Stegostoma tigrinum: one gene and its partners. The protein of the gene in region 1 interacts with the protein of each later gene in a biochemical or structural test. Links are inferred from orthologs where the notes say so. Each region holds a gene or a part of one and is shown on either strand. Other genes may lie near its edges.

Region 1 (3,749 bases):
GGAAAGACTTTAATGAAATTGACATGAATCAGTTGAGACAAATTACTGCAGATGCTGGAACCTGTACTGAAAACAATAAATGCTAGAGATCACAGTGGGTCAGACAGCATAAGCTAACGTTTTGAGTCTAGATGACTCTTCATCAGTAGGATGTTATGAAGTTGTGTAGAGTAATCATGAATCAAAAGACAGGAAGCTAGAATTTGTTTGTAAAAATGATGGGGAAAGGAGTATGTGGCTCCTTTTAAGAGGTAAAGTGCTTTTCTAAGCTTTGAGATTTATACAGAACATGTCAGTAGCTGAAGATGGTGCAGACAGTTCTGAAATTGAAACATATCTATTGGCTGTGTGATTGGAAACCTTAGACTGGTTTTGATGTTTTGGCAAATAGCTGGAATCAGTTAACTAATTTAAACCAAGCACTTAGCGATTGAAAGAAAGTTGAATTTAAATCTGATGGTTTGGACAATCTGAGACCAATGCTATTTGAAGAAAAATTGATACTTCAACAAAAGGTATATAAGAAAAGGATATTTAAAAAAGTGAGTGAACTGCCATTTGAGAAATAAGCGTTTAGCTCTCACAAGAAATCACTAAGTTCTCAACGTAAGCACCATTTATCCATAAAAAAGGTACTACAGCATTTCCAACTAAGAGCTCTCACAGAAAAACATCCCTGACAGCCAGATCAGCGGAAGAAAGACATTTACGACTGGAGAACGACAGAAGAAAGATACTTAGACTTTGACAGAGTAAATTTTAAATTATTTTCTTATTACTTGGGTTTATATAAGTGGGACTTGTGATTTTTGGAACAGCATAGCAGTAGAATTCAGTTCAGTTAGGGAATAGTAGTGAAGGGGAATTGTGCAGTTTGGTTGTAATTCTGTTAGTTTGTTCACTGTTAGGGTTAAGTAAATAAATTATTACTTATAAAACAAATATCATGGTTTTTCTTTCATTTAGCTGCCCCTTCTCTAAGTTTACTCCCTTTTAGGTGAGGTGAGGCGAGCTTCTCGGAATGTTTCCAGTTTAATTATTCGAAAGGAACCTCGACTCCTGCCTTAACAGATTTGCAGGCTTGTGTTTCGATTTTAAATAAGAGGGGTTCGACCTCTGCTTCCTAACAAAGGGTTGACCGTTTCAAACCGCTCAGCCTCGAGAATTCTCAAAATCATCTGAATATCTTTTTCAACTCCAAGACCTGCTGAACTTTTCCAGAAACTTCTGTTTTTTTTGTTCCTGATTTACAGCATCCGTATTCTTTCGTTTCCTTTTTCCAAATCGTCTTTGTCGAACGGAGTAAACGCCATCGCCTGGGGATTAGAACGGTGAGCATTTGGAAGTATAACGGAGCTAGACCGTTTACTATGGATGTAGCGAAGACGTGACTCACCGCTGCCAGAATCAGACTCATTGTGGCTGGGCTGGCGGCGCTGCTAAGGAAGTGACGCACAAGTCGGAAGCGGCGTGAGTTTGGCGCGGTCTCTGGGCTGTGGTGGCGTCTATTCGGTTTAGAATCTTGCACCCTTTTAAACATTCGAAAGCGGTGGCCTCGAGCGCGAGCTGAACGGTTGCCGCCGCCGAGCCCCACCCACCATTGTCCACACATCATGCCCCCCAAGTCGCTGAGGAGAACGGCCGCTGGTGGCTCCGAGGAGAGCATCTCTCCGGCCAGGTAAGGACGGGGTAACAGGGCAGCAGCTGTTGCTTTCGTCGGCCGAGCTCCCACCTCAGCCAGCCGCGGCCTGGGCACTGGGAGGGTGCAAGAGGTGTGGGGAATACTTGGGTGGTTACCTGTAAAGTGGCTCTCGAGAGCAGCTAATCCCCGCCCCCACGCGACATCTTTCTGTCTCTCTTTTTCGCTGCACTTGTCGTTGCCCTGTGCTTCAGTTTTGTGGCCCTTTACCTGGCTACTAGCCTTTTCCTTCATTGTGCAAAATCCCCGGGAACTTTTAAGTCGGATCGCAGCACCGCAGTAACCTGGTGCAGAACCCCACTGCTGACTCAGTGCTAATTCTGTGAGACCGACTCTGTGCTAAATGTCCAATTTCTACTGTTGTGGCAGTTAAAAAAGGGCATAATCCTCCGTAGGTAGCATTAGGGTAATCTTCCAAAACACCGTATTTATCACATGTAGTGTTTTTGACGATAGTCATTACCCAGAGAAGCTAGCAGACGACCCTTCAAATATAGGGTAATCGGTAGTAGCTGGAATATAGTATAATGCATCATTCCTTGGCAACAGCCTTTTAATTCACAATTTACTTTAGGGGAAAGAGGACTTCGATTTATACAGAGCCTTTCTCGACAGCGCAATACCCTGATGAATTTCTTTTGAACCGTAAGATAGTGAAGGGTTTCTGACAGTCAATTCCTCACAGGCAACTCCCTTCAACAGCAGTGTGATAAAATGTTGACGAGGTGAGAAAGGCTGAACTGGCTCCCTTTCTGTTTTAGCACACTACTCTTTCACACTTAAAACATAGTTTGGTAGTTCAGCATTAAGGAGCTAATTCCAAGGTTTTCTTGAGTGAGTGAAAGAAAAAGGAATTTTGCAACTTGCTAAGTCTGACGAAAAATCAATAAAACACATTGTATTCTTACAGATTTTACATTTTAAAAGGGGACAAGTGCCAAGTACAGACAAGAAAATAATGTTTCAGATAGTAGGAACTACAGATGCTGGAGAATCTGAGATAACCAGGTGTAGAGCGGGATGAACATAGCAGGCCATGCAGCATCATAGGAGCAGGAAGGTTGATGTTTCGGGCCTAGACCCCTCTTCAGAAATTGGGTGGGGGGTGGTGGGAAGAGGGTTCTGAAATAAATAGGAAGAGAAGGGGAGGTAGATAGAAAATGTATAGAGGAGAAGATAGGTGGAGAGGAGACAGACCAGTCAAAGAGGTGGGGATGGTGCCAGTAAAAGTGTATGTTAGTTGGGAGGAGATGGAGGTGGGGCTTGAGGTGGGAGGAAGGACAGGCTGGTTTTGAGATGTGGTGGTGGTGGTGGAGCGTGGGGAGGACGGCGGAGAGATTTTGAAGAAACCACGCGGAGGCTTGGGGACCGCTTTGCAGCACACCTATGCTCGGTTCACACTAAGCAACTGCACCTCCCAGTCATGAACCATTTTCAACTCCCTGTCCCATTCCATAGATGACATGTCCACCCTGGGCCTCCTGCAGTGTCACAACGATGCTATCTGAAAGTTGCAGGAACAGCAACTCATATTCTGCTTGGGAACCCTGCAGCCCAATGGTATCAATATGGACTTCACAAGCTCCAAAATCTCCCTTCCCCATACCACATCTCAAAACCAGCCCAACTTGTACCCACCTCCCTAACCTGTCTTTCCTCCCACATATCCCCTCCTCCCACCTCAAGCCCCACCCCCATCTCCTACCTCATAACTTTATCCCGCCACCCCCTGACCTGTCTGTCCGTGCTCCTTGGTCTGACCTATCTCCTCCCTACCTATGCTCCCCTTTACAGGCTCCATCCCCACCTCTTTGACCTGTCGGTCTCCTCTCCACCTATGTTCTCCTGTATCCATCTTCTAGCCACCTCCTCCTCTCTCCCTATTTATTGCACAGCCCCCTTCCCCTCCCCCATTTCTGAAGAAGGGTCTAGGCCCAAAATGTCAGCTCTCCTGCTCCTGTGATGCTGCTTGGCCTGCTGTGTTCATCCAGCTCTACACCTTGTTATCCAAGAAAATGATGTATCGTTTGAAGGTCCAAAGAGAAATTTT
Region 2 (3,749 bases), on another chromosome or scaffold:
GCACAAAATTCAGGGTGACATGGTGGCATGATGGTTAGCACTGCTGCCTCACAAGTGCCTGAGACCCAGGTTCAATTCCAGCCTGGGTGACTGTCTGTCTGGAGTTGGATGGTTCTCCCTGTGTCTGTGTGGGTTTCCTCCGGATGCTTTGGTTTCCTCCCACAGTCCAAAGGTGTGCAGGTTCGGTGAATTGGCCATGCTAAATTGCCTGTAGTGTCCAGGAATGCCTAGGTTAGGTGGATTAGCCAATGAAAATGCAGGATTACAGGGTTAGGGTAGTAGGTTATCTCTGGGTGGGATGCTCTTTGGAGAGTTGCTGTGGACTTGTTGGGCTGAATGTCCCGTTTCCACACGTTAGGAATTCTATCGAAAATAAATTGCAGCCTCCGTCTCTTGCAACGGCTGCATAGGTTCGGTTGCTTGTGCTGTTACTAGTGCTATCAATGAATTTGAGTCTGAGTAGCAATTAAATAGAGAGGACTTAGTAGACTTGAAAATGCCGACATTTGAGCAATGATGATGACCGGGACTAAAAACAACAAATGCTGGAGATCACAGCGGGTCAAGACAGCATCCGTGGAAAAAAAGCAACCTAACGTCGAGTTCATAGCACCTGCAGTAATTTGCTCCTATAACTACCGGGACTCTGAGATGCTTATTGAAAATCTGGGGACGTTCTGACAAAACTTGGAGTTCTGGTTACCTCAGGCATATTTAAACATGTATTGCAGAGAATTTATGCTAATTGAGTTGTAGCAGATAGTCGGGGAACAGTACAAAACTGTTAATCAAACGTTTCCTGAAAGTTCTAACAATTAGCTTAATTTCGGTTTGCCAGATTCGTTTTCTTGCAGTGATTTAAGGTTGAAATGTTTGCAGCTAATCACACAGTCCACCTCTTCACTGCAAAAGCCCTTCAGTGTATTGACTGATCGAGAGCCGTTGGGTGGGCTGGGCTGCACTGTTTAAATGGCACAGTCCTTCCCCTCCATCCGTCTCCTCGTACGATTGGTGGCATCCAAATGGACCAATCATAGCGACTCAAAGTTCGCCTCTATGTAGGGAGGAAAAAAGGAGAGAAACGATAACATTCACACAAACGGGCAATAAATGTGTCCGGTGCCCAGCAGCAGCTGCCTCCAGCTGATCGCTACATTTCCAATGATGCGGGGGTAAACCGATACAAACCGCTGACGTCAGGCAAACCCGTCGCCAGGGCAACGCATTCTAGTGGAGCGGGCTGCGCCAATCAGAGTGGGCGGAATGTGGAACGGCAGCGAATGAGCGTGCAGCGGCGGGGAGTTTAAACCTGAAGCCGGCTGGTGTTGGACTGCAGTCCGTGGCGAGTGCTCAGGCGGTTAGCAATGGCTCTTCGGATGGTTAAGGTAGCGTTTGTTATTGGCTTTTTTTAAAAGAAAAATCAACCAAACCACCTCCTCGTTTCCACCACCGTAATTACTCACTCTAAGGCGATATTTTCCAGCAGGACCAACCGGGAGTTTAACGGAATTGGTTCGCTTGTAAACTAGGCTTTTTTAAAAAAAAATGTTGGTAATGAAATTTGGAGTAAAAATAAATAGTGTTTTTTAACTTAAAAAATTCTGTTTTCATTTTCCTAGTGGAAGCGAATCCTGTAACCATGCTTAACACTGTTATGGTAGGCTTTTTAAAGTGGAAGTATTGTGTGTGGCAACTTCACTTCAGACCTGATTCTGTTAACCCGCATAACAGACCGAAGCTAAAACCAAAGACTGCTATAAGCGTTTGGTTATGTTTTAATGTCTGGGCCGAAGTAGGTGTGCAATTGTTTTGGTTTAACTCTTCTCTTGTGTAGCGGGTGAACTTAGCGATAACTTTTGGCTGGGTTGCTGCTGGGCGTGTAGGGAAGAGCGGTGGAGCTCTGCAATGACGTTCAGTGGGATTTTCCGAAGCTTCCTAAGGAAAGTCAACTTTCTGCGACTGGCATAAGTGGCTGGACCCACAGGCGGGTCCACATTCGTATAATGCTACATTCTGTAGATAAGCGATAGCCTCATGTTTCAACGCAGGGATGGAGGGGGAAAAAAATAACAGCACTTTTATTTTTTAAGGCGGGGCTCCCAGATCATGTGCTTTTGCAACGTTGCAAAGTCCTACGGGAAGGCGCCATTCAGAATCTGGCTCCAATCTCAATTTGTCATAAACCAGTCAAATACGCCCCCTCTCTATTTATTTCAGAACCCCATTCCCCTCCTCTCTTCTTCCCCCCCCCCCCCCCCCCCCCGCCATTTCTGAAGAAAGGTCTAGGCCCGAAACTTCAGCCTTCCTGCTGCTTGGCCTGCAGTGTTCATCCAGCTTTAACACCTTGTTATCTCACTTAATGTTGGGTATGGGGGGCTGGGGGGAACCCCTCTGCTGTACGTGGCTGGAGTGGTACTTCATATTTATGTAAACGCTCATTGTGTAACCGATTCCTCTAAACCCATGGTTCAGAACAGCTGTTAATTCTTTGGCTTTAACTGGGATTAGTGTTGGAGCCAGACATGTGAATTTTCCTTAACAATTGCTAGCCTTGGTTAATGACTTTACTTCCTCTTGCCAAGTTCATGATGGCTACCCTGTCTTACAAATCTATAAAGCAATCTGATATTATGTGAGTAAGAATGGATGGGGAGAAAATTGGCCAACTGCTCTACTGCAACAGATTAGGAAAGTGGAATGGAACAACAATATTCTTATGAACAAATACCTCCTGTGCTATTGCAGTACTGCAGCTGTGCCCAGTTGTTTTTGTTCATTCAGTATTAACATCCTAACGAACTACTTTGACAGACTAATCATGTTGGTAAAGACAACATTGAACCAAAAGTCCTTCCAGGAAAAATTGGAACAAAGCTTGGCTTGAGACCTAGAACTGCTTTGGTGGACATAGGCAACAAGACACTGGGAACTAAACTCCCAGTGAAAAAGGTATGTTGTGCATTGCTAGATAACCTGTACCCTTAATGGATTTAAATTCCTAGCAGCTGTATTTGGTTTTTTTTGTCCCTATTGTGGCAAATGTCTTGACTGACTAACTTGCAGAATGCTTCTCCAGTATAAAGTGCAACCTGGAGTTTGCCTGTTTTTAATTCATCTAGTGCTGGCACTCCTCTTCTGTCCTTGGTCAACTTGAACACTTCAATGTAGCTCAACACTAAACCACCCCTTTTCATTAAATAGATTTTTGTTACTTTCTGAACTCACTACAACTTCATAGCACTAACTGATCCCATGGTTTTTTGACCATATCACTGAATTTTTTTAAACCAGTTCTAACAAGGGGGCACCCCTGCCAACCTCTGGATCCAACACATCAATCTCCAACACTTCTGCCATCTGCAATTTTCCCCTCAACCTTGCCTGCTGTACAGAGGGACCACTGTCTCTGTGACTTCCTCATCTGCTCGTCACACTCCTCCAGCCCTGCTACACCTGCCCCTCTATCTTCCCTCCTCCCAGGCCCTAAGACTGCCTGCATCAAACAGATGTTCACCTGTGCATCTGCCAATGTGGCATACTGCATCCACTGTACCCATTGTGGCCACCTCTACATCAGGGAAACCAAGCAGAGGCTTGGGGACTGCTTAGCAGAATACTACACTCGGGTTGCACTAAACAACAGAACCTCCCAATCGTGAGCCATCTTGACGCTCCCTCCCATTCCTCAGATGTGTCCATCCTAGGCCTTCTGCAGTGCCACAGTGATGCCACCCAAAGGTTGCAGGAAC
Region 3 (3,749 bases), on another chromosome or scaffold:
CTAAGACTATTGGGATGTAGGATTCCAAGGCAGAATATGAGGCACTGTTCCTCCAGTTTCTGGATGGCATCATTGTGACACTGGAGGAGCCCAGGATGGGCGTGTTGTCCAGGGAGTGGGAGGGGTAGTTGAAGTGGTTCGCGACTGGGAGGTGTTGTTTGTCGCAAACCGAATGTAGGTGCTCCACAAAGCGGTCTCTGAGCCTCTCTTGGTGTCCCTGACGTAGGGGAGGCCACAGCAGATACAACATACCATATTAACAGATGTGCAGGTAAACATCTATTTAATGTGGAAGGTTAAACTCTGTGTTTTCCTGGCTATCATTTGTTCATTAACTCAGGACAGGTGGATAAGGCTGAGAGGGCATGTGTGATATTTACCTCTGTTAGTCAAGGTATTGGAAGAGGAGAGCAAGGGAGGTTATATTGAAGCTGTATATTGTGTTAGTTAGGCCACAGCTGAAATACAGCATGCAGCTCTGGTCACTAAACTATAGGAAGGACGTGACTGCACCAGAGGGGCTGCACAGGAGATTCACCAGGATGTTCCCTGAGTTAGAATTCAGCTGTGAAGAGAGAATAAATAAGCTAGGGTTGTGACAATGTATTCAAAACAGAAATTGCTGGAAAAGCTCAGCAGGTACTTGTTTTTTTGCAGGTTTTGGGGCAACACAGTCATTAACATTGCAGCCTTACAGCACCAAGGGCCTGGGTTCAATTCCACCTGTTTGTGTGGAGTTTGCATCGTTCTCCCTGTGTCTGTGTGGGTTTCCTCCCACAGTTCAAAGATGTGCGCGGGTTTAGGTGGAACTGGCCATGGGAAATTGCCATGCTGTGGTGTTCAGGTTAGGTGGATGCTAGTGTGGACTTGTTGAGCCAAAGGGCTTGTTTGCACACTTGTAGGGATTCTACTTGAAACATAACCAAGCCAGTTAACAAAGTGTGGAGCTGGATGAACACAGCAGGCCAAGCAGCATCTCAGGAGCACAAAAAGCTGACGTTTCGGGCCTAGACCCTTCATCAGAGAGGGTTATGCCCTGAGGGAGGAGGGTAACTTCTTCAGGTTAGGCATCCCTGGAAGAGGCTTCGCAGTGAGTTTGGCCCGCTGTGTTCATCCAGCTTCACACTTTGTTATCTTGGATTCTCCAGTTCCCATTACCTCTGGCAACCAAGCAAGTGCCTCCTCCTGGATTCACTTCGATCATTCCTCCAACCCCAGAATATCCTGCTCAAGGTGACCCACGTACTCCATACAGTCGGTGAGGCTAACTTTTATAGAGACCCCCCCCCCCCCCCCCCATATAACTAATCACCGCCCTACTGCAAGACGTTGATGAAGTAGGAGGAGGGGGTGGGGGGGCGCTGGGACTCGAACCCACGCCTTCGCTCTCCTCGCCAGCCCGCTCCCAGCTTGCCGACCCAGGGGGCGATCCCGCGACGCCACACGCGCCCCGGCGGCTCTGCCGGCGCCTCTTCGCGAAGGTTTGTTTCTGCCGCCCTGCATCGCCCAGAATGCCGCGCGGCTCGCTTTGAAAAGCGGCGCGGCCGATTCAAGATGGCGGAGGTGGAGGAGCTGCCGGATGAGAGTGAGTCCGGGGCGGGGGTGGGGGAAGGAAGGAAATCCGGGAGGGGGAGGGAGACAGACTCCCCGAGGGGTCGGGACGCCCTGACAGCCAGCAGCCTCCTCGTCCAACGACCCCCCCCCCCTTCTCCTCCCCTCCATCCAGCCCACCTCCGGGAGCCCAGGTCGTGTCCCTGCCCGGCGGGTGGGGGAACGCGGAGTCTGCCTGATGAGGGCCGAGGATCCGACACTGACTGACAGGCCGGGGCCGGAGCTCGGGGCCCGGGCACCGGCGGATCCCGGGTCCGCACGGGGCGGCCTCCTCCGCCGCAGACTGCCGGGACAGGGTGCTTGGGGCGTGGGGCGGATCCGGATCACCTCACCCCACCCCCACCCCCACCCCTACCTGGAGCTGCCTGTGGATGTGGGCGGCTGTCACACTCGGACTGTTTCCCCCCCCCGTTACCTGGGGCTATCCGCCCAGGACAGGCCCTCCTCCTCCTCTGACTCTGAGTGAGGGGCTGAGTGGGGAGACGGATTCCCGGCTAGAAAAGATAAATCACAGCTGGAGAGGGGTGTGTGTCTGTGTCGCGGGGGTAGCTGTGGTGGCTGTCCGCTTTAACGCGATTCCCACTGTTCGAGGGAAAGTTGTGATACTGTTTATTTAAATTTGAAACTGGATGTAGATGCTGTGGGGTTTTTTTTGTTTGATGTGTTTTTTTTTGTATGTAATGGATTTGAAGGCCGCCTGACAAATGTGACTCTATGCTGTGATCCGTTCTGTTTTGCGAGAAGACTTGAGGTTGCAGTGTGTTTGCATCAAAGACGTTGTTGGGGGCGGGCCCCCCCTGTTTTGTCTTGGTCATTGGAGGTTTCCTGGATAGTGCTGAAAAAGTGGCGGGGTGGGTATGAGTGCTCGAAGTATATGTGAGGGGCTGAATAGCCTAAGCCTGTTGCTGTAAAAGATGTGGGATACTGTGTAGCGTATTCGATGCACTTCTGGCTGGCTCATCATCCAAAAGTCTGTAAGCAATGATTCTGATGAGATCCTGTTCCTGGGTCATCTTTACTGACCTAAACTGGCTCCAAATTACATTTCTGGAATTCTCGCTCCATGTTTGCAGATCTACTCGATGGTCTCAACCCTTAGTATCTTTGTAATTGCTTTCAGCCTCTCAATCCTCTGTAATCTGTACTCTAATTTTGGCCTTATTAGTTCTTTCCATATTCCTTCATTCTCAGGCCCTACATTCTGCAATTTCCTCACCACAAACTTCGCTTTACTCCTTTAAAACACTTCTGAGAAAAAAAACTACTTGGATCAAGCTTTTGATCACCTGCCCCAAGATTGCCTTGGTTTGGTATTAGATTTTGTTGCTTCACTCCTGCGCAACAGCTTGCAATGTTTTACAATGTTTACAGCACTCTATAGGTACAAGTTGCTGCTGAAGGTTTTTAATCTGTGGTCTGACACTGTCTTGTTTGGAGAAGTGGAGGACATAAAGTATCTTTAGAGGTTATCAAACTTCTTTATTTGCTGTTTGTTCCCTTGTGGCAAGTGCCTTAGCCATTTTTCATGTTCAAAGTGTGTAAATTTTGATGCATTTTCCAGTTGATTATTTCTGCAAGTGTGAAACAAGACTTATGTTGCTGAGTTTGGATTGAGGTCCATGTGAATATTTTTTAATGGGAGTGATGGGTTACAGGTTCATCTACTCAGTGTAGAGGAGCAGAATAGTTTTTAGTGAGAGGGGATGTTTACAGTTTATCATTTTAGATAAATTTTGCCATTAAAAACTTGCTTACTGAATGTTTTTGATCGCTGCTTTACCTATGACAGTTTTGTGAACTGTGCAAGTGCTTGCAACTCTTAACAGATTGCTTCTTCAGAATGTTTCAGCATGGTAGTGTATTTGTGAATTACCATTGTATCCCTAAAACATAGTCATAGATTTCAAGGAACTGGATGGTAGTCAGGCTTTTCCTCAAGTCAGACTTTTGACAAAACTGCGCTACTGCTTGGAAAGGAATTGCTACATCTTTGAAGAAGGAGAAATTTGAAGGGCTCTGGGGAAGACTTGGGGAGTACTGTTTATTGGCTAGCTCCTTTGAACTGATATAAGCAGGATGACCAGGATGTTGTTCTGTGCTGTATTGTGACTCTTCATTCCCTTCCCCGATTATACCTT

Evidence for each region.
Region 2: of the proteins of rb1 (region 1) and ccnb1, one has a biochemical effect on the other in vitro, tested with the Homo sapiens proteins (2 studies listed by BioGRID). The link is inferred for Stegostoma tigrinum from reciprocal best matches to the Homo sapiens genes RB1 and CCNB1.
Region 3: the proteins of rb1 (region 1) and lin9 form a complex in vitro, tested with the Homo sapiens proteins (2 studies listed by BioGRID). The link is inferred for Stegostoma tigrinum from reciprocal best matches to the Homo sapiens genes RB1 and LIN9.

The regions. Positions count from the first base shown.
Region 1 is NC_081365.1:72,797,592-72,801,340, reverse strand, and holds the start of rb1 (retinoblastoma-associated protein), read left to right. Parts: upstream 1-1,470; 5' UTR 1,471-1,613; coding exon 1,614-1,678; intron 1,679-3,749. UniProt on the Homo sapiens protein: Tumor suppressor that is a key regulator of the G1/S transition of the cell cycle. The hypophosphorylated form binds transcription regulators of the E2F family, preventing transcription of E2F-responsive genes.
Region 2 is NC_081356.1:109,641,673-109,645,421, reverse strand, and holds the start of ccnb1 (G2/mitotic-specific cyclin-B1), read left to right. Parts: upstream 1-1,232; 5' UTR 1,233-1,364; coding exon 1,365-1,385; intron 1,386-2,811; coding exon 2,812-2,949; intron 2,950-3,749. UniProt on the Homo sapiens protein: Essential for the control of the cell cycle at the G2/M (mitosis) transition.
Region 3 is NC_081357.1:10,408,796-10,412,544, forward strand, and holds the start of lin9 (protein lin-9 homolog), read left to right. Parts: upstream 1-1,518; 5' UTR 1,519-1,554; coding exon 1,555-1,585; intron 1,586-3,749. UniProt on the Homo sapiens protein: Acts as a tumor suppressor. Inhibits DNA synthesis. Its ability to inhibit oncogenic transformation is mediated through its association with RB1. Plays a role in the expression of genes required for the G1/S transition.